Pelodiscus sinensis: one gene and its partners. The protein of the gene in region 1 interacts with the protein of each later gene in a pairwise test. Links are inferred from orthologs where the notes say so. Each region holds a gene or a part of one and is shown in the gene's direction. Other genes may lie near its edges. The genes, in order: TBX6; C25H1orf94; heat shock transcription factor, Y-linked-like.

What was found.
Region 2: the proteins of TBX6 (region 1) and C25H1orf94 interact in binary tests that used the Homo sapiens proteins (3 or more experiments, as listed by UniProt). The link is inferred for Pelodiscus sinensis from reciprocal best matches to the Homo sapiens genes TBX6 and C1orf94.
Region 3: the proteins of TBX6 (region 1) and heat shock transcription factor, Y-linked-like interact in binary tests that used the Homo sapiens proteins (3 or more experiments, as listed by UniProt). The link is inferred for Pelodiscus sinensis from reciprocal best matches to the Homo sapiens genes TBX6 and HSFY1.

Annotation. Positions count from the first base shown.
Region 1 is NW_027465967.1:62,645-70,502, reverse strand, and holds the start of TBX6 (T-box transcription factor TBX6), read left to right. Parts: upstream 1-4,766; 5' UTR 4,767-5,159; coding exon 5,160-5,289; intron 5,290-7,172; coding exon 7,173-7,431; intron 7,432-7,720; coding exon 7,721-7,858. UniProt on the Homo sapiens protein: T-box transcription factor that plays an essential role in the determination of the fate of axial stem cells: neural vs mesodermal. Acts in part by down-regulating, a specific enhancer (N1) of SOX2, to inhibit neural development.
Region 2 is NC_134735.1:5,911,829-5,919,177, forward strand, and holds the start of C25H1orf94 (uncharacterized protein C1orf94 homolog), read left to right. Parts: upstream 1-4,329; 5' UTR 4,330-4,381; coding exon 4,382-4,641; intron 4,642-7,349.
Region 3 is NC_134723.1:41,600,671-41,608,208, forward strand, and holds the start of heat shock transcription factor, Y-linked-like, read left to right. Parts: upstream 1-4,466; 5' UTR 4,467-5,872; coding exon 5,873-6,433; intron 6,434-7,367; coding exon 7,368-7,538. Other genes in the region: TMEM185A (transmembrane protein 185A), read left to right, coding at 2,968-3,212.

The DNA of each region.
Region 1 (7,858 bases):
CCTAATCATTTTAGTTGCCCTTTTCTGAACCCTTTCCAAGGCCAAAATATCTTTTTTGAGGTGAGGAGACCACATCTGTACACAGTATTCAAGATGTGGGTGTACCATAGTTTTATACAGGGGCAGTAAGAGATTCTGGGTCTTATTTTCTATCCCTTTCCTAATAATTCCTAGCATCCTATTTGCCTTTTTGACCGCCGCTGCACACTGTGTGGAAGTTTTCAGAGAACTGTCCACGATAACTCCAAGATCTCTTTCCTGATTTGTCGTAGCCAAATTAGCCCCCATCAGACTGTACCTATAGTTGGGGTTATTTTTCCCGATGTGCATTACTTTACACTTATCCACATGAAATTTCATTTGCCATTTTGTTGCCCAATCACTCAGTTTGGTGAGATCTTCTTGGAGTCCCTCACAGTCTGCTTCTGTCTTGACTATCCTGAACAGTTTGGTATCATCTGCAAACTTTACTACCTCACTGCTTACCCCTTTCTCCAGATCATTTATGAATAAGTTGAACAGGATTGGTCCCAGGACTGACCCTTGGGGGACACCACTAGTTACCCCTCTCCAATCTGAAAATGTACCTTTTATTCCTACCCTTTGTTTCCTGTCTTTTAACCAGTTCTCAATCCAAGAAAGGACCTTCCCTCTTATCCCATGGCCATGGAATTTACACAAGAGCCTTTGGTGAGGGACCTTGTCAAAGGCTTTCTGAAAAGTACACTAAAGTACACTATATCTACTGGATCCCCGTTGTCCGCAGGTTTGTTAACCCCTTCAAAGAACTCTAATAGATTAGTAAGACAGGATTTCCCTTTACAGAAACCATGTTGACTTTTGTCCAACAAATTATGTTCTTCTACATGCCTCACAATTTTATTCTTTACTATTGTTTCAACTAATTTGCCCGGTACTGAAGTTAGACTTACCGGTCTGTAATTGCCAGGATCACCTCTAGAGCCCTTTTTAAATATTGGTGTCACATTGGCTACCTTCTAGTCATTAGGTACAGAAGCCGATTTAAAGGACAGGTTACAAACCACAGATAATAGCTCAGCAATTTCCCATTTGAGTTCTTTTAGAACCCTTGGATGAATGCCATCCGGTCCCGGAGATTTGTTAACATTAAGTTTTTCTATTTGTTCCAAAACCTCCTCTAATGACACTTCAATCCGGGACAGTTCCTCAGATTCATCACCCACAAAGGACGGTGCAGATATGGGAATCTCCCCAACGTCCTCAGCCGTGAAGACTGAAGCAAAGAAATCATTTAGTTTCTCCGCAATGGCTTTATCGTCCTTGATTGCTCCTTTTATAGCTCGATCATCTAGGGGACCCACAGGCTTTTTAGCAGGCTTCCTGCTTCTAATGTACTTAAAAAACATTTTGTTATTTCTTTTTGAGTTTTTGGCTGTTCCTCAAAATCTTTTTTTGCTTTTCTGATTAAATTTTTACACTTGATTTGACAGTGTTTCTGTTCCTTTCTATTTATCTCACTAGGATTGGACTTCCACTTCTTAAAAGATACCGTTTTGTCCCTCACTGCTTCTTTTACATGGCGGTTAAGCCACGGTGACTCTTTTTTAGGTCTCTTGCTATGTTTTTAAATTTGGGGTAGACATTTAAGTTGGGCCTCTATTATGGTGTCTTTAAAAAGTTTCCATGCAGCTTTCAGGGATTTGGCTCCAGTCACTGTGCCTTTTAATTTCTGTTTAACTAACCTCCTCATTTTTGCGTAATTCCCCTTTTTTAAATTAAATGCCAGGGTGCTGGACTGCTGAGGTGTTCTTCCACCACAGGAATGTTGGAGGCAGAGCCCTGGCCGTGAGAGAGTTCCTGGTCTGGCCTGGTGGCCCAGCAGGGGGCGTGGTGCGAGGGGGCAGGGCCCTGGCCGTGGGGTGCTCCTGGCCCGGCCCAGCAGGGGGCGCGGCGGGGAGGGGGCAGGGCCCTGGCCGTGGGGTGCTCCTGGCCTGGCCCAGCAGGGGGTGCGGCGGGGAGGGGGCAGGGCCCTGGCCGTGGGGTGCTCCTGGCCTGGCCCAGCAGGGGGCGCGGTGCGAGGGGGCAGGGCCCTGGCCGTGGGGTGCTCCTGGCCTGGCCCAGCAGGGGGCGCGGTGCGAGGGGGCAGGGCCCTGGCCGTGGGGTGCTCCTGGCCTGGCCCAGCAGGGGGCGCGGTGCGAGGGGGCAGGGCCCTGGCCGTGGGGTGCTCCTGGCCTGGCCCAGCAGGGGGCGCGGTGCGAGGGGGGCAGGGCCCTGGCCGTGGGGTGCTCCTGAGCTGGCCCAGCAGGGGGCGCGGTGGGGAGGGGACAGGGCCCTGGCCGTGGGGTGCTCCTGGCCTGGCCCAGCAGGGGCGCGGTGCGATGGGGGCAGGACCCTGGCCGTGGGGTGCTCCTGGCCTGGCCCAGCAGGGGGCGCGGTGCGAGGGGACAGGGCCCTGGCCGTGGGGTGCTCCTGGCCTGGCCCAGCAGGGGGCGCGGCGGGGAGGGGGCAGGGCTCTGGCCATGGGGTGCTCCTGAGCTGGCCCAGCAGGGGGCGCGGTGCGAGGGGGCAGGGCCCTGGCCGTGGGGTGCTCCTGAGCTGGCCCAGCAGGGGGCGCGGTGGGGAGGGGACAGGGCCCTGGCCGTGGGGTGCTCCTGGCCTGGCCCAGCAGGGGCGCGGTGCGATGGGGGCAGGACCCTGGCCGTGGGGTGCTCCTGGCCTGGCCCAGCAGGGGGCGCGGTGCGAGGGGACAGGGCCCTGGCCGTGGGGTGCTCCTGGCCTGGCCCAGCAGGGGGCGCGGCGGGGAGGGGGCAGGGCCCTGGCCATGGGGTGCTCCTGGCCTGGCCCAGCAGGGGGCGCGGCGGGGAGGGGGCAGGGCCCTGGCCGTGGGGTGCTCCTGAGCTGGCCCAGCAGGGGGTGCGGCGGGGAGGGGGCAGGGCCCTGGCCGTGGGGTGCTCCTGGCCTGGCCCAGCAGGGGGCGCGGCGGGGAGGGGGCAGGGCCCTGGCCGTGGGGTGCTCCTGGCCTGGCCCAGCAGGGGGCGCGGTGCGAGGGGGCAGGGCCCTGGCCATGGGGTGCTCCTGGCCTGGCCCAGCAGGGGGCGCGGTGCGAGGGGGCAGGGCCCTGGCCGTGGGGTGCTCCTGGCCTGGCCCAGCAGGGGGTGCGGCGGGGAGGGGGCAGGGCCCTGGCCGTGGGGTGCTCCTGGCCTGGCCCAGCAGGGGGCGCGGCGGGGAGGGGGCAGGGCCCTGGCCGTGGGGTGCTCCTGGCCTGGCCCAGCAGGGGGCGCGGTGCGAGGGGGCAGGGCCCTGGCCGTGGGGTGCTCCTGGCCTGGCCCAGCAGGGGGCGCGGTGCGAGGGGGCAGGGCCCTGGCCGTGGGGTGCTCCTGGCCTGGCCCAGCAGGGGGCGCGGTGCGAGGGGGCAGGGCCCTGGCCGTGGGGTGCTCCTGGCCTGGCCCAGCAGGGGGTGCGGCGGGGAGGGGGCAGGGCCCTGGCCGTGGGGTGCTCCTGGCCTGGCCCAGCAGGGGGCGCGGTGCGAGGGGGGCAGGGCCCTGGCCGTGGGGTGCTCCTGGCCTGGCCCAGCAGGGGGCGTGGTGCGAGGGGGCAGGGCCCTGGCCGTGGGGTGCTCCTGGCCCGGCCCAGCAGGGGGCGCGGCGGGGAGGGGGCAGGGCCCTGGCCGTGGGGTGCTCCTGGCCTGGCCCAGCAGGGGGGCGCGGTGCGAGGGGGGCAGGGCCCTGGCCGTGGGGTGCTCCTGGCCTGGCCCAGCAGGGGGCGCGGCGGGGAGGGGGCAGGGCCCTGGCCGTGGGGTGCTCCTGGCCTGGCCCAGCAGGGGGCGCGGTGCGAGGGGGCAGGGCCCTGGCCGTGGGGTGCTCCTGGCCTGGCCCAGCAGGGGGCGCGGTGCGAGGGGGCAGGGCCCTGGCCGTGGGGTGCTCCTGGCCTGGCCTGGCGTCCATGTCACTAACCCCACGTCCACTCCAGAGGCAGGAGCCAGACCCAAGGCCCAGGGCTGCTCTAACCCACCAGACCCCCCCCCCCCACACACAGAGCAAGAGCCTGAGAGAACCCAGGGGTCCTGGCTCCCAGCCCCCGCCCCACCCTTGCAGCTGTCTGGCACAGCTGTGAAAACAGCTGGCTGACAAATGATTCCTCCCTCCTTGTAAACCAGGCCAGGATCAATCAAGCCACTTTGGAGCCAAGGTGTTAATTGGGCAATTAGGTTACTTAAAACAGGGGAGCCCAGGGCTGGGCTGGCAGGGCCTGTGGGTCAGAAATGGGGAGCACTGGCGGGGCGGGGGCTGCGGGGCTCCAGAAGGCCTTGGGGGCAGGAGCTGTGGGGTGGAAGTGAGAGGCAGAGTAAGGCTGGGAGGTGCAACGGCTGTGGGGGGGCACCAGCAAGCTGGGGGTGGGAACAGGAGATGTCGGCAGGCTGGGGCAGGGGCTGCAGGGCGGGAGTGAGGGGTGTTGGCAGGCTGGGGGGGAAGGGGGTGGGGGGGCAGGGGCTGCAGGGCGGGAGTGAGGGGTGTTGGCAGGCTGGGGGGGAAGGGGGTGGGGGTGGGGGGCAGGGGCTGCAGGGCGGGAGTGAGGGGTGTTGGCAGGCTGAAGGGGAAGGGGGTGGGGGGCAGGGGCTGCAGGGTGGGAGTGAGGGGTGTTGGCAGGCTGGGGGGCAAGGGGGCAGGGGCTGCAGGGCGGGAGTGAGGGGTGTTGGCAGGCTGGGGGGGAAGGGGGTGGGGGGCAGGGGCTGCAGGGCGGGAGTGAGGGGTGTTGGCAGGCTGGGGGGGAAGGGGGTGGGGGTGGGGGGCAGGGGCTGCAGGGCGGGAGTGAGGGGTGTTGGCAGGCTGGGGGTGAGAGCAGGGGGCATTGGCAGGTTAGGGGGCAGCGGTTCGGGGTGGGAGTGGGGGCGTCAGCAGGCTGGGGGGGCAGGGCGCTTTGCCTTCTTGCTAGGCCGTTCCCTCCTCCCCCCGCGCCCCCAGCAGAGCCCCTCCCGCCCGCCCTGCCCCTCCTGCTGTCCAGGAGCCATTTGGGGACTCGCTTCAAAGTGCCGGGGCAGCCCATAAATAGGGGGCCAGACACCTCCGAGCCAGAGCAGAGCAGCCAGGAGAAGCCAGGCGTCCGGGTGTCCGGCCCCAGCTCTAACCACCAGGCTCCACTCCCCTCCCCGAGCCAGGAGAGAAGCCCTGCTGCCCAGCATGTACCCCGCGTCTGAGCTGTTCCCCCAGCTGGGGGGCTCCTACCCGCTGCGCCCCGCGCCCCACGGGGGGCTGCCGGCTGGCTTCCCGCCGGGGCCCGGGGCCCAGTACGAAGGGTTCCGCTACCCAGGTGAGCGGGCCAGGGCGGCTGGCTCTGGGGCGGGGGCATCCATGGGGGGGGGAGGAAGGGGCCCCAGTGGTGTGGGGGGTGGAAAGGGGGCCCATAGCATTGGGGCAGAGGTGGCAAGGGAGCTGGGGGCAGAGGAGGAAGGGGACGATGGACAAGCAGGAGCTCACTGGGGCTGGGGGGATCTGGAGAGGCCCTGCCGCCCCCCACCAGCGGAGCTCTTAGCACCAGATAGCGACCAACTGGTGGGGGGAGTGGCAGCAGGATGTGAGATTCCTGGAGCCTCAGAGTGTGACCCAAACCCCTCACCCTGCCCTCCCGGCCTGCCGGTGCCCCTCACTCCCCCCGCAGCCCCTGGGCCACCCCCAGCCTGCCAGTGCCCCTCACTCCCCCCCGCAGCCCCTGGGCCCCCCCCAGCCTGCCGGTGCCCCTCACTCCCCCCGCAGCCCCTGGGCCCCCCCCCAGCCTGCCAGTGCCCCTCACTCCCCCCCGCAGCCCCTGGGCCCCCCCCAGCCTGCCGGTGCCCCTCACTCCCCCCCGCAGCCCCTGGGCCCCCCCCAGCCTGCCGGTGCCCCTCACTCCCCCCCGCAGCCCCTGGGCCCCCCCCAGCCTGCCTGTGCCCCTCACTCCCCCCCGCAGCCCCTGGGCCCCCCCCAGCCTGCCGGTGCCCCTCACTCCCCCCCGCAGCCCCTGGGCCCCCCCAGCCTGCCAGTGCTCCTCACTCCCCCCCGCAGCCCCTGGGCCCCCCCCAGCCTGCCGGTGCCCCTCACTCCCCCCCGCAGCCCCTGGGCCCCCCCCCAGCCTGCCGGTGCCCCTCACTCCCCCCCGCAGCCCTTGGGCCCCCCCCCCCAGCCTGCCGGTGCCCCTCACTCCCCCCCGCAGCCCCTGGGCCCCCCCCAGCCTGCCGGTGCCCCTCACTCCCCCCCGCAGCCCCTGGGCCACCCCCAGCCTGCCGGTGCCCCTCACTCCCCCCGCAGCCCCTGGGCCCCCCCTAGCCTGCCGGTGCCCCTCACTCCCCCCCGCAGCCCCTGGGCCACCCCCAGCCTGCCGGTGCCCCTCACTCCCCCCCGCCACCCCTGGGCCACCCCAGCCTGCCGGTGCCCCTCACTCCCCCCCGCAGCCCCTGGGCCACCCCCAGGCTGCCGGTGCCCCTCACTCCCCCCCGCAGCCCCTGGGCCACTCCCAGCCTGCCGGTGCCCCTCACTCCCCCCCGCAGCCCCTGGGGCCACCCCCAGGCTGCCGGTGCCCCTCACTCCCCCCCGCAGCCCCTGGGCCACTCCCAGCCTGCCGGTGCCCCTCACTCCCCCCCGCAGCCCCTGGGCCACCCCCGGCCTGCCGGTGCCCCTCACTCCCCCCCGCAGCCCTGGGCCCCCCCGCGCCTGCCGTGCCCCTCACTCCCCCCGCAGCCCCTGGGCCACCCCCGGCCTGCCGGTGCCCCTCACTCCCCCCCGCAGCCCCAGGCCACCCCCGGCCTGCCGGTGCCCCTCACTCCCCCCCGCAGCCCCTGGGCCACTCCCAGCCTGCCGGTGCCCCTCACTCCCCCCCGCAGCCTCTGGGCCACCCCCCAGCCTGCCGGTGCCCCTCACTCCCCCCGCAGCCCCTACTGGCCTCACCCTGCTCCCACAGCCCTGCCGGTGCCCCTCACTCCCCCCTCCGCAGTCCCTGCGTCCTCCCGGCCTGCTAGTGCCTCTCACTCCTGCCCCACAGCCCCTGACCTGCCGGTGCCCCCCACTCCTGCCCCGCAGCCCGTACCGGCCACACCCTGCTCCCCCAGCCCTGCTGGTGCCCCTCACTCCTGGCCCCGCAGCCCCTGCCAGCCCAGCCCCACTGGTGCCCCCCACTCCCGTCCTGCAGACTCCATCTCTGATTGGTTTCTGCTCACCTAGATCTGGATGGTGTGCCAGCACCCAAGTTGGAGCCCTTCTGCCCTACATTGGACCGGGTTGGACGGCTTCTGCCTCCACCTCCTTCGGGCGCCCCGCTGGCCCTTCCTGCCCCACCCCTGCCCTATGCAGGTGGGCAGCAGCTGCCCCCGGCCGAGCCTCCCCGCCTGTCCTCCAGTGTGCGGCTGAGCCTGGAGAACCGGGAGCTGTGGAAGCGTTTCTCTGCCGTGGGCACTGAGATGATCATCACTAAATCAGGGCGGTAAGAGTGGGCTGTGGTGTGGGGAGGGCCTGGGGGGAGGGGCTGTGGTGAGTCTATGGGGGGGGTCTAAAGTGGGAGGGAGGGTCTGTGGCCGGGTTCCCTTGCGTGCCTGGTTGATGAGCAGAGGCCCCAGCCAGGTGCGTGTTTCTGCTGGTGGTGCACATCTAATCGCACCGTGGTGCACAGGGAACAATTTATTCCACACAGGGATGGAAAAGGGACATTTGTGTGTGGGGGGGGGCCTTGTCCCCATTGAACCCGAGCCCCTCAACCCTGTCTCCCCCCACAGGCGGATGTTCCCCCAGCTGAAGGTGTCGGTGACGGGGCTGGACCCCGAGGCGAAGTACCTGCTGCTGGTGGACATGGTTCCGGCCGGGGCTTCGCGCTACAAGTGGCAGGGCCAGCGCTGGGAGGCCAGTGGCAAGGC
Region 2 (7,349 bases), on another chromosome or scaffold:
GGAGCCCATTTGATTCCAGCGTGGTCCAATCCTGCTCCCCCCCACACACATCCCCATCAATTGCTTTCCAAAAAAAGCACCTGGCAGCACGCTGAGTTGAAAGGTCTCCCTCTCTTTTACCAGGTGTGCCCAGCTCTGGGGACAGGCCTGCCTAGGACAGCCAAGTTGGCAGAAACTTGCAGGGTTCTTTGAAAGTGCATGTGTGTCTGTTCTAGTGCAGGCTGCTGTTAACCTCCACTAGCCACTGATCAACTTGCCTGATTACCTCCACACTAAGCTGGACAGGGGATTTTTGCCTTTCTAAGCAGCCAACAGCAGCCAGGAATGTTTGATCTACACTGCCACCCACAGTCAAAGCTCAGGCTCAGAACTGGCCAGATTCTGACACCTACGGATTAAACCTCTCTCGTCCGGCACCCTGGGGACCTGACAACTGCTGAACCAGAGAATTTGCCCAACTGGAGGGGGGAGGGGGGAGGGGGGTCAATAGTATCTAGCAGCTTTACCAACACTTCCCCTGCTGCCTGGGCTCTTAGAAGACTGTTAGGGATAAATTGGAGCTAAATCACAGCACAGAACACCAAGAGCCAGGACTGGTGGCTGTAAACAAACTTTATGGCAGGAAACTTGACCATACCCATGATAAGCAGGGATATAAAATCCTGATTAATCAGTTAACTGCTTAAATGTTGGGTTAACCTAACGTTTAACCCGTTAACTGACTGAAGCGGGATCTGAGCTGGAGCAGTGCCCAGCCCACAGGATTCCCAACCCCCAATCCCACCCTGGGGCTGACTGCTGCCAGTCCTCAGCCCCTTCCCCGCCACTGGCCCCCAGTTCTCAGCTCCCATCAGAACAGCCCCTACCTTTGGGGCACCCGGGCTCCCTGTAGACAGAGGCTGCTCTGGACGAGAGCAGCCTCTGTTCATGGTGGGCTGCTCCAGCCCGCATTCGTTACCAGTTAATCGGAACCAGTTAGTGCCACCAATTTAAGGTGATGCTGACCGGTTCACTGGTTAAACTTTCACATCCCTAATGACAAGTGCCGGCTAACTAAAGTCATGCCGGACCATGGATGTTGCCAGACCAGAGAGTGCCGGACTAGAGAGGTTCAGCCTGTATTATATCCTATCTATCATTTCCCCGACCAGAGCCAAAGCAATATAAATCACTGCAAGCCTTCCACCCCCAAAGAACACAATCAAACATAATATTTCTGAATGTCTGGGAGCCAAGGGTCATAGAAACATAGAACCATAGAACTGGAAGAGACCTCAGAAGGTCATCAAGTCCAGCCCCCTACTCTAGGCAGGACCAACTCCAAGTAAATCAACCAGGCCAGGGCTTTGTCAAGCCAAGACTTAAACACCTCTAGGGATGGAGACTCCACTACTTCCCTAGGTAACCCATTCCAGTGCTTCACCACCCTCCTAGGGAAATAGTTTTTCCTAATATCCAACCTGGATCTCTTCCACCACAACTTGAGACCATTGCTCCTTGTTCTGCCATCTGTCACTTGGCATGATTTACACCTATTAGGTCTTGTCTTCACATGCAGTGATGAAGCTGAAACGCTGTAGCCCATTAATGAAGATGCTACTATACCAGCAGAAGAGCTTCTGCCAGCATGGTAGTTAATCCACCTCCCCGAGCTCTGGTCTACACTAGGACCTTAGTCCAAAATCCCCAGACCCGTCCCCCATTCAAATAAGTAAGCAATGCTTCCACACTACCAAGGCTGTTATTCTGGAATACGGGGCCATGGAATTTGAACTCTGTACTCCTGCTTTTCATGAGGAATAATGCTATTCCCAAACTTGTACGTCCGAAATAACATTAGTGTAGACACTTCAGTGCCGCTAATTTGAACTTACTTGCCTCTGGGAGGCCTCCCACAGCTCCCCAGAGTACTTCCTGGGCTCTGAGTCCGAGGTAGTACGTCCATATTCATGGAGCCTGCCTCGGACTAATTTTGATGCTTTCCTGTAGTGAGGATACGCAAGGTCAACGTTGTTTAATCGGCAGTTCTTAAGTCAAATTTAGTAATTTCGAAAGAATTTCCTAGTGTGGACATGGCCTGAGAGGTGGTAGCTATGTCGATGGGAGACATGACCCTATCTACACTGGGTGTTAGAGGGTATAACTACATCGCTTAGTGGTATGGCTTTTTCATACCCCTGAGCAATGTAGTTATACCAATATAAGTCCATAGCATAGAACTGGCCTTAGTCCAGGTGTGGGCAATAAGATGGCAGCAGTTCATCAGGGTTAGCCACTGGCAGGCTGCTGCTGCTATATTTACCTGTGCCACCATAGATATGGGTGCTTGCAGCTCATCTATGGGATGCTGCAGGAAGTAGCACCATCTGGGACACCACTTCCTGCAGCTCCCATTGGCCAGGAATGGCGATCCGCGGCCAATAGGAACTGCAAGCACCCATACCTGCAGAGATGCAGGTAAATACAGTAGCGGCAGCCCACCAGGGGCTAACCCTGGCAAACTGGATCCGGCTCACGTGCTGGTATTTGCCTGCTGCTGGCTTAGTTAGTTCTCACAGTGATTTCCTGGTAGTAAGAAGCATGAACTCCATTTTACAGATTGGGAAACAGAGAGACAGGAAGGAGAAAGAACTTGCCCGGGGCACAAAGGGGATTAGTGCCAAATCTGAGAACATCACATAGGAATTCTGACATTAAGTCTCCCTTTAACTACTAAATGACATTCCATACATAGTCAGAGGTGGTTAGGAGTCTTAATTCATCTGGGCTGGTGAATCTTAAGAGTGTTTTTCCCAAACAAAAAGCAGCACAATCAACAAGTCTCCCTAGGGATATGAACAGACTTAGGATGAATAAAATAAATCCCAACATCTACTTTGTTGACCAACCACAGCTGCTGTGGGTGAAAAGAGCAGCAATTAGATGTCCATGCAGTATTAGCCAAGAGGCTTGTACATAGAATAATCTCTCTGATTATACAGACTACTGTCACCGTGACTTTTTAGATGCATGATAGACAAGTCCACTTTTTACTCTAAGCTAACGGGAGATGCACAGAGCTAAGATTTCAGAGAAAGGTGCAACAGCTGCAGTAACAAAACAAAAAAATCTATGCACAAGTGTTGCCCCTGCAGATGGGCAAAGGCTCTTGTACATGTAAAAATTTCACTTTTACCTGCCCGTGTTCTTTTGTTTTGCACAGACACATGGTGCACATGGAACCATAGCAGCCAAATGAATTTCTGCAGGTATAACCAGTGCATCTGAAGTCTGGGCTGGCTGCCTTCTTCTCATTCACATTCCACAGCCCTCCCCAACAGAAATGTGGTTTAACTGTCGCTGATAAGCCTGTCCTCAGGTTCAACATAGTTTCATAATTCTCTCACCTCCTGGCCTTAAATATCAGCCAGAACAGGACTTGGGAGCTTCCGCTGAAAAAGCTCATGGCCCTCTTCTGCAGAAGCAATACGATTCTTCATGAGCTGTGTCACTATTAAGAATCCGTTCTTCTGTCAGGATCCAGGTGCTCCAAACTGCAGTACAGAAATAACTGTACTGGGTGGCATTCCCAAGGCGGGGCTGGCAAAAGACGGAGGTGTACGTGTTGTACCAGAGCATGCTACCTAGTCCAGTATCCTGCATCAGCAGCCGATGTCCAATGCTTCAGAGGGACCATTAAGAACAAAATAGTGTCCTGAACAAAATCCTCAATCTAGACCCCCCTCCAAACTTTGGCAAGTTCTGAAAGTTGGTTCCTTGAGCCCATCTGCAGAACAAATGGAGACTTAGCTAGCTATGCTCATGCTTCTTAGTTTAGAGACACAGAAGTAAACCAGACAAGACAGCCAGAGCCCCTGGCTCTCAGACCCACACCAGAGTAAATCCTGCGGTCTCTGCTTCAGTTTATTTCTGTGAGAAGGATCAGGAGGGGACCTGATATGAGATAAGAGAAAGGACTCGGAGCAGAGGAGAACTCACCTCCTTTTTCAGTGGAGACAACGTGGGTGTAACCCTCTCATTGTCACAGGATACATTAAATACAAAGAACAGAGGAAGGAAAGAGGAGGGTGGAGTTAATACGTGGACCTGAGAATATATGGAGTTGGGGCAGGGTGGCGACCCCATGGACACCGGTCCTAGAGGCTGCCCTCTGCCTTACTTGGAGGATCTCACACATGGCTCCCTCTTCCCCATCTTCCTTTCAGTGCTGCTGGAATCCCTACCACTGTTTCCGGTTGTTGTCCTTCGTACCAGTTGCCAGGACCCAGGGATTCTATGGTTACCAAGTTACCATGGCTTGTTGCTTTTCATTCCATTCTGTACCCACAACGCCCCTTTCAAAAAGTTGTCTTTTGGTGCCTGGGTGGGAAAAGACTGAAAGATGCTCACAGGCGGGAGTGAGCTCCCGGGTCCGACAATCAGCTCCAAAAGCCCCTTTCCTTTAGGACCTTTCCCCAGGCACATCTGGATCCACCACAACACCCCTCAGGACAGCCTGGACAAAGCCTGCCACGAGATCTGGAAACGGGTACAAGGTCTGCCTGAAGAGCTCCAGTCAACGTCACCAGTCCTGCAGCCTCCCTGTCACCCAGTCTTGCCATCAGACCTCCTCAGAGGAGAGGGCAGCCGCTACCTGAAAGAGTGAGTGTTCTCCAACTATGTCAGAAAGAAGATCACTGATCAACTCCATGTGGAAACATTCACTTTCCAACACCCTTTCTGCCCTACAGTAGCTTTGGGACTCTATGTACAACCAGAGTAGGAAATCTCTCAAACTAGTTGAGATGAAACACTGTGTTTATTTTCACAGCATCAAGCCAGAGGGCAAAATTATTTCCTTTCCCTCCACACATTCATTTTCCTATGCAAAACGCCCCGTGATGCCTCGCCACATCTGTAATTCCCAAGCACAGTAAGCAGCTGCCGCATTCAGTTTCCCCACAGCAGTTTTTTTTAAATCAAAATATTTACAGTAAGAAGCAAAAGATGCTTTCAAAAAGCAAAGCAGAAAATTAAAATGTTATACTATAAACAGCTGATCTTTACAAAGGAGAGCTCAATTTGGCAGAGAAGGAAGGGAGGGGAGGAAGCACAGTTTTCAAATTTAAGAGGGACGTATTTATAGTAGTCTCCTGAAGCGGGACTGGGGGTGAGGGAGTCAAATTTGTAAACCCAGCAATTAATTAACAAAGGTTGGCAACTGTCCTAGTCTGAAAGTAAAAATGCAATAACACCATTCACAGTTTCACAGACAGGGCCCAGCCTGCTGAGATACAGTAAATAAGTAACGTTAGAAGCTCAAAGTGCTTTATAAAAGGTGAATTAGTATAATTTCCCCTTGAAAGCGAGACTGAAGGAAAGGAAATTAACAAAGGCCACACAGCCCAGGAATAGAACCCAGGCATCCAGGACTCAAACCCAGTGTCCCATCCTCACTAAGGCCATGTCTACAGTAGGCAACTATTTTGAAATTAATTAATTTGATTTAACTCTCAATTTAACAAAATTGAACTAGCATGGCCACACTATGGAAAAGCCTCAAAATTAGCGCAAGGCAGGTTTCATTAATGTGGACGTGCTACCTTGGACTTAGAGCCCCAAGAAGCAATGGGGAGTAATTAGTTTGAATTACTCTGCGGAGTAGTTATTTCGAAATACCAACACTGATGCGTCCACACTACCATTATTTTGAAAAAACTATTTTGGAATTAGCATTACTCCTGATGAAAAGCAGGAGTCCAGATTTTGAATTCTGCAGCCCGTTATTCCGAAATAACGAGCTTGGTAGTGTGGATGCTCTGCTTATAAATTTGACTTTGGAGGGGTTATTTTGAAATAAAGTCCTAGTGTAGACCAGGGCTAAATGTACTTAAATCTTGAAGGAAGACTCTTGAGGCTCGTTTATCCTCTTGTGACTGCGTAAACCGGGAGTAACTCCACCAAAGTAACTCCTGGTGCATAGCTGGAGTAACTGAAAGGAGAATGCAGGCCCAAGTGTCTTTATGAACCAGATGTTCATCACATCTGTTCATGCACTCATGAGAGGGGCTCAAATGTTATGGGGAGAAGGGAAGCACCACAGCCAGCGTGGAACAGCATCAAACTACTACTAACAATCTGAACTTTAATTCCTCCCCTATGTTAGGGTACGTCTAGACTACAGGCTTTGTCGACAGATACTATCGACAAAGCCTCTTTCGACAAAGAGTGTCTGGACTACAGCCAGCTCTGTCGACAAAGCAAGCCGCTTTTTCAACAGAGAGTCCCGACGCTCTCTTTTGAAAAAGCACAGCGTGGATGCAATAGCGCCTTTTGTCCACAGAACCCTGTCAACAAAAGGCGTTACTCCTTGTAGAATGAGGTTTACTGCCGTCAGCAAAACTGCTGCGTCTGTCGACTTACTGTCAACAGAACTCGGCGGTAGTGTAGACGCAGGTATAGTTTTGTCGACAAAAGTCCACCTTTGTCGAAAAAACCCTGTAGTCTAGACACACCCTTAGTGACGCAGACCCGTAAAGCTCCATGGAGTGGGGTGGGGTTTTTTTGGTTTTGTTAGCATTGAATTTAGTGGGTTCTTCAAGGGCAGCCAACCTAGCATAATTCCTTGCCACTGGGCCATGTAACTGCCCTGAAACTATCATAATTGGGGAGATCATCCTCTTCTCTCGCCCCTTTGTCTTGTTCGGTGAAACTGTCCACAAGAGCACCAGAGCTGTGATGGGGACGCCTGAACCCACAGAAACTGGACTGAGACCCATCAAACTCATTTCCCATGCAATGAGAGAGGCCGTGGGGTCCAGTGGACAGGGCACACTAAGCTTAGGACTCAGGAGAGCTGGGTTCTACTGACACTTCTACCACTGAGCTGAGGGGTGGGCTGTGGGCAAAAGTCTTCTCCCATACCCTCCAGGTGTTGGTTTTGTCTGCTGAGGGTAGGAGCTGTCTCTTGCCCTGTATCATACGGGGTCTTGATCTTGGTGCATGTACAAGTAATAACTGAACTGCCTTCAGGTAGGTTTTGGCTCCTGTTGACCAAATGCCAAGACCTGCTTTGCTCTCCTCACATGAATAAACCTCTTTGGAGTCACCACTGCTTCTCAACTGGGAGGCTGAGCAGGTGCAAACCCAGACCACAGTTTGGACACAGATCCTGGAGGTATCAGTGTCCTTATACAACTCTCAGGCAATCCAGTCGCTGGGAAGAGATTTTGTAAACCCCTGACCATCTATGCTGACAGCCCGCAAAGGCACACGAATCACCTGATTCGTCATCTGCAACAACACACGGGGCCAAGACGACTCGCAGTGACCTTGCTTGATTTCGCAAGCTTTTAATTATTTTAAAATAT
Region 3 (7,538 bases), on another chromosome or scaffold:
TCTGGCACCCATACCCCCTCCCTGACTCTGCATCCCCTTCCCCTGCCCTAAGTCATCACCCAAACCCTCTGCACCTCATCCCCCAGGTCACAACTCCCTTCAGACCCTGCACCACCTCTTAGGGTCCCTCCCTCAGTCCAGAATCCTCTCCTGCACCCATACTCCCTCCTGGACTCTGCACCCCAAGCCTCTGCCCAAGATCACAGTCCCTTCCTTCACTCAAACTCCCCCTCAGACTCCACACCCCCTCCTGCACTCAGTCTCCTACCCCAACCTCCCTTCTGCACCTAACCTCTGTCCCAGACTCCAGACCGCCTTGGTAGAAATGCAGCCCTTGACCACTCGATAAAATCTTGGAGTGGCCCCCCCATTAAAAATTATTGCCCACCTCTGAACTAGATAGGTGGAGATTAACACAGTGGGCATAGTCAGAAGAAGCTTTGCAGCTTATGACAGTTTTTCCTTATGAGTCACAGGCTGTGTATGTATCCCTTGTTGTGAGTGTCTTTCTGTAATCCATCTAAGTTTGATTTTGACCCCTTAGCTTCTTGGAATCACAATGTCAAAGTCCAACAGAATTAGTTCAGTCCTTAATCCTTCCACAGTAAATTGTGTTTCATATGGTTTATTTTTTATTGTGTAGAGGGTAGGGTTTTTCCCCCCTCCTGTTATGTATGCTGAAGATCCTATAGCATGTATTGTAAGCGGATGGGCTTGTCCTGATGTCCTTAGCCAATATTTTTTCTCCTTCAACCAGAACACAGAATAGCAATGTGCAGTTAGTTGTGACTTCCACTCCAAGGGTAGCTTTATTTAACGATGCAATGTGTGTAAATATTATAAAAACCGTTTGGGATCCTTTTATAGTTGAAAGAGTTTATATTATTTATTATTGTAAACTGAATTGTCTTGTTTTATGTCTCTGTAATCACAACATACACTGACTTTTTTTAAACTTGTTCTTAGATCATAAGTAATTTTTTCATATTCAGCTGCTATATGAGTTCTTGTATTGATTTGGAGGAGTTGGTATATAAATAATGGTGGTGTGAAAATATTTAATGGATTTAGCCCTATAATAAGGAATATCTTAGCTTCATATTCTTTACCAATATGTATTAAAAAGGGCCTTGTGAAGACTTGATCATGAAAGTATTGACTAATTTCTTTTCAGCTAGTATATTCTCAGTGTCTGTAGCTACTTGTTTCATCAAAGCATCTCCAGCATAGGTTTCTTCCCCAGACCTAAGATTTTTGTCTGATATGTTTACTTTAACATCAGACTTCTAACTGTGTTTCTGCTAGTTACAGTAAAACTCCATTGGTCCGGCATCTGACGGTCCGGCACTCCTGATGATCCGGCACCATCAGGAACCCGGAAGTGCTCCGCAGCCGGACCATTGGAGCTGCTCTGCCCCCAGCTTCCCCTATTCAGCCGCTGCTAAAACTGACCAGCGGCTGAATCGGGGAAGCCGGAGGCAGAGCAGCTGGGGCGCTGCCGGGTAGGTCCCCTAGCGCTGCCCCTGGGGGCTGCGGGACCAACCCGGCAGCACCCCAGGCGTCCTGATTCAGCCGCTGCTGAAATTGACCAGCAGCTGATTCCAGGAAGCCTGAGGTAGAGCTGCTCTGCCTCAGGCTTCCTGGAGTCAGCTCTTGGTCAATTTCAGCAGCGTCTGACTTGGGGACGCCTGGGGCAGAGCAGCTGGGGTGCTGCTGGGTTGGTCCCGCAGCGCCGCTCCTCGGCGCTACTGGATCAACCCAGCAGCACTCCAGCTGCTCTGCCCCAGGCATCCCCAAGTCATCTGCTGCTGAAACTGACCAGCGGGGGCTTCCTTGAGTCAGCTGCTGATCAGTATCAGCAACGTCTGACTTGGGGGGACGCCTGAGGCAGAGCAGCTGGGGTGCTACCGGGTTGATCCAGTAGCGCCGAGGAGCGGCGCTGCGGGACCAACCCAGCAGCACCCCAGCTGCTCTGCCCCAGGCGTCCCCAAGAGCAGTTGGGGTGCTGCCTGGTTGGTCTCGCTGCGCCAAGGGTCGGCGTTACCCCGACCAACCCGGCAGCACTCCAGCTGCTCTGCCCCAGGCGTCTCCGATTCAGCCGCTGCTGGTCAGTTTCAGCAGTGGCTGAATCAGGGACGCCTGGGGCAGAGCCGGACTATCGGAAGGGGGGGCTATGAGGGGTCTGGAGTGGTACCCCCCCCTCACCCCAGACCCCTCATAGCCCTCCCTTCCGATAGTCCGGCATATCTAATAATCCAGCACCCCCTGGGTCCCAAAGGTGCCGGATTATCGGAAGTTTACTGTATATAACTTTTTAAACCTGTGTGGGGTTTTTTGTTTGTTTTTTAAGTCTAGAGCCTAAATTGCCTCCTCAACTTTGTGCTTGGAAGAGTAGAGTGGTGGAACATTACAGGGCACAAGTCAGTCTTCACCTGTAGCTGTGACCACAGTGCATTTGCAGTGTAGCTGATGACAACATTAGCTTAGTGTTTAAGGCTATATGCTGTAGATCTAGTAGTGTGTTGTATAACTTTTATTTTATGAGTATGAGTTAGGTAACATAACCCCGGTCATTCCAAATGGACCCCATGTGCTTAACAAACAAATGTACTTAAATTCATTTCAGTTGGAACTTATCTAGGTGAAATATGGCAACCGGTCACCAATCTTAATATCTGTTTGACAAGGATATCATGGAATCTTTAATTGCAAGTAGTCAGGACGTTGGCTTTGTTTTATGTGAAAGATTTGCCTGTAGCAGGTAAAATACTTCTGTATGCCATGCTGTGGGATTAATTAATGGAAGGGTACTATCTACTGAGTCACTAGCACCATGTGTTAGTGTCTAACTATTTATAAACAATATTTATATAAAAGATTTTAGTATAAAAATGAAATGAGTACTTGGTTTTAAAGTGTAATTTCCTTCTTGATTAAAACTGAAACTATTAATTTGGATTTGTCCAGGGTGGTTTGGAATTCGCAAAGATTTCTGTCAATTTCTACTTGAAATTTTCCCATTCTTGAGAGAATATGGAAATATTTCCTATGATCTTCATCACGAAGATAATGAAGAAATGGAAGAAACACCTGTTCCAGAACCTCCCAAAATTGCACCAATGTTCCGAAAAAAGACTGGAGTGGTCATTACACAAAGTCCTGGAAAGTACGTTATTCCACCTCCCAAGCTAAGCATTGATGTGCCAGATTAAAACGAATTTAGAAGATGGACAACTGACAACAAAACTGGAACTAGGAATAAACAACCAAATGTATTTCATCTCAAAAAATGTTCTAATTTCTTTTAAGGATAGGTATTTGTCAGTTAGTGGCTTATAATGTATTACATTGGAGATTTTTAAATGATTTCTTTTGGAGCTTTCCATATTTACTTAATCTCATGGTAGTGAATCCAAATGGGAACACTAGTTAATCTTTTTTTTTTAAATATACCTATAAAGTCATTACCAGAGAAATTAATCCAGTATATCAATTGTAGTGCATGGGGCATTGAAAACTTTTAATATTCTGTAACATGACCTCTGGTAACTCAAATTCAGATTTTTCTACACCTCATTTAAGCATTTTAAGTATTGTGTTCCTAGTGTTATGATCTTTTGTCCCTGAAGATAGGTGGTTGTCTAATCGGTGAACCTTCCTAGTGGATTGGTTATGTGCCTGGCTGTATAGTATTTATACGAACATTGTAGCAATGTAATATATTCTGTTCAAATTCTAGTTCTGTACAGTATAAATATTATGTAAAGGTATTTTTTTAAAAACTTGTATGAAATGCATAGACTATTACAGAGGATGTCTTTCAAGTCTTAAGTATATATTTGGCCTCTCTTGCTGTATGTTGTTTAGATATATGCGTTGGCATGTCTTTACCTGTCATTTCCTATTCAGACATGAACACTATCTTTAACTACAGAGGCACAGGAGCATTGCACTTCTCTGGCAAGACTTGAAGGCTTTTGTTTTATATAGAATGTATAACAGCTTACATGATTTTGACTCAATGTAAATTATTGTGTAAATAATCACAACCGTTGCACTGACTTGTGGGTGGGGGGGTAGATGTTAACTGTGTTGCGTCTTCAAGTTCTGTAGTCATATTTTACCATTAAGCAACACATTATTAGTTATTAGCCCCTTCAGCTGTTTAATAAACTATTTTTTCCTATATTATGTGGAAAATCTATACTTTGTTTTAATTGCTCAGATTTTGTAGATTGTCATCAATTTTACAGCTGACATAAATACCAAGACTGTACTGTTGCATAAACTACCCTATCTTTTGTGAAACACAGGTCAGTCCAAATTATTAAACCCTTTACAAGGAGCTGTGCCATTTTAAATTAGTAAATTCTCTAGAAAAGTTTCTGTTTACTTTGACATTGTCATGAATTTTGGGGGGTGACGGGTGGGTTTTTTTTTCTTTCCCAAACCTCTACTGAGGATGCTTGTAGGTTAGTGAGATTAATCTGAAATTCATGTTACAGTAGTTTGTTCTCTTTGGCAAAGAGATGCTTGTGTTTGCTCTTACAACTCAGTGATAAGTATACACTCTGATATCCATCAGTACTGTTTTTCAAAAAATGGTTGATACAGGAATGACAGGAATGTGGAAACTCATCTCTTCACTATAACCACTAGCCACAGTTAGTTATGCCAGAAGTAGGGAATATATTTGTTCTGACAACTGTAATACTAGTGAGGCAAGTGCTCCCTACTGCATTGCCTTTATTCTTCCATCTACCCGTTTCTCCCCCCATCCATCCCCAGTCTCCCCGGTAATGGGCATTCAGTGGTGGAAGATAGTTCATTATAGGCCACACTGTTCCTCATCTACTGCAGCAAAATTGGGGTTTAGAGGTAGCCTCCTAATAATGCATTTATATCCCACCATCATTGTCCACTTGGACTTGAGAACATGCTCTGCTCGACCTCCTTGAGAGGCCCAGGGAGTAAAAGGCCTTCCATTTGTCCACTGGGCTACCCTACTGGAAAAGAGCAGCCGAAAAAACGCGTAGGTTGAATTCCCACATTCTCACTGGAAGGGAGAACCAATAGGAAGTCAACATCTAATAGACAATCTCCTTTCTCCCCTTCTTTCTCTCTCTTATCCCTGTGACAAGTGCTGGCAGGTGACTTGGTTTGCTCTGTAATGTTACTATCACATAGAAGATGGGCAGTGATGATCAACCTGTGGTGACTTTTTTTCAGATTCTTTCCTTCTGCCTTTTACCAGTACCTCCTTCCCCAGTCTTTGGAGCAGAAAGAGGGTTCTGCAAGAGACCAGAGGGAACAGTCTCCTTTGCAGCTGCTAAATGGAATTGTAAATTCTTATTTTTATATACAGTGTATGTAATTTAAATACTTGTACTCCTATTTTTTTTTTCATACAGCCAGGGTCTGATGGCAAGAACACAGTGTGGGGAATTCTTCACTAGTGAAAGAGGCTCAGTGGAAAGACTAGGCAAATAAATTTCTTCCTTTATTCCCAACAACCGCAGCAGTACAAGCTTCCCTCAGCTCTGTTGTGGAATGACTGCTGTGGGGAGAGGGAGGAATGGATGGTACGGTGCTCTATGTCCAGTTAGTATATGCCTTATTTACATCATGAGACAAAGCTTTTATAGATTAGATCTAATCTCTCGTAAATGATATTTAAATGCTTTTCACTTTAGTGACTTGTCTGGCCATTATTACCTCAATTTGCTAGGAAACCAGTTGTTTTATGATGTCACAGCCACACACCACAAGTATCATTATGATGTTCTAGAACTCTCTACTGAAGTTTCACTTTAAGCTAGCATCATTTTAATATACCACTGTCTAGGAGCATGAAGCTCAACTAATAGCATAAATGGCTACAACTGAAAAAGGTCAAAGCGATAAAGGATTGGAGATGGACCTTCCTATAGCAGAAACATTACATGTTTCAGCTCAGGATGAAATGGTTGATTCTGCTACCTCAATTTCTTCTGCTATTCCATTGTGTGATAAAACAGCAGCTGGTGACTCTGCCTTGAGGTCTATAATAGAAGAAAATGCTTTTCAAGCTCTGAGTGATGGACCATGGGTAAAAAGACCACGTCTTACTCTCTGTGAGGATAATTCCACTGAAGACAATGATTTTTTATCCCTCACCTTTCCAAAGAAACTATGGAAAATTGTTGAAAGTGATCAATTTAAGTCACTTTGGTGGGATGATGATGGAAATTGTGTAGTGATTGATGAAGAGCTCTTTAAAAAGGAGGTGCTAGAAAGGAGAGGCCCTCTGCGAATTTTTGAAACTGATTGCATGAAAAGTTTCATCCGTCAGCTTAATCTCTATGGCTTTAGCAAAATGCGGCAAGATTTTCAAAGGTCTGCCTCACTAGCTGAATTTCTAGCAGAAGAAAAAGCAGCATCTGCTTTTAGCAAGGTAAAATGCCAGTATAGTTTCTCAAAGCTTAAAAGATGCCTATTCTGAAATACATTTAATGAGGGTTTTTTGCATGCACAAAAGTTTTATGCTCATGAAGAGAATCTAGGAATGAGGGTTTTGAAGGCTATTCTGACATCCATAGTTCTCAAAGTATTCTCATGAATGAGTAAAAAAATGTGAATACTAGTTTTTTGCCCAGAAGTGACTATTTCAGTGTGGGTTTTTCCCTGCTCGCCTGAGCCAGTGAAACAGAAATCCTCTCAGCCCCCTTCTCTTTCTCTCTTCTGGTTACTGGTGTACTTCTGGTACTAGGTTTGCATTGCTTTCTTTTCCCACTGGCATTTGCTGAATGCTAGGAAGATGGATATGAGCCATGTGTTACTATTTGAACATTTATGGCCTTTTATCTAAATTACTAAAAGTCAAGGGGACTTGTACTTCTGGACCTAAATCTTTTACATGCTTTAGAAAGTCTCCTACTGTCGGATAATATCCATCCTTTTTGTTTAAACTTTAGTTTCGATACTAGACCCACTTAAGAGATATAATCCATTAAAATATTACCTGTCTGTATTTCTAACACCTTTTAAATTTCAAATTTACCTTTCACCATTTCTGCCATGTTTGCTTTTTGCACTTAATTTGGCTTCTACAGTGAAAGTAAGCTATTCAGGTCCATTTCCTGAGGTTAAACACAATGCTGCAGGAGAATGTTTAAATTCAAAGAATTTTCACTGATTTAAAATGTAATGAAAATACCTCTGTTTCATCATATCTTTTTTGCAGCTTAAAATTGGGGCCAAAATTGTTTGCCAGTGTCCGTTCAATATTAATGTTTGCTTTATGTAGGCAAAAATCTTAGCCAGAATGTGCACTTGACTTTTTTTTATTCTCATAGAGGTGATTAAATCTTTTCCCTTGCTTTATTTAGTTACAGTTCTACCATAACCCGAATTTTAAGAGAGGCTATCCCCACCTCCTTGTAAGATGTAAAAGAAGAGTTGGCATCAAAAATACACCACCAGTTGCTTTCTCATTAGAACAGGAATTTAGTGAAAACTGCCTAAAGAATGAGGGAAGAAACTCAGACATTCAGTCTGCT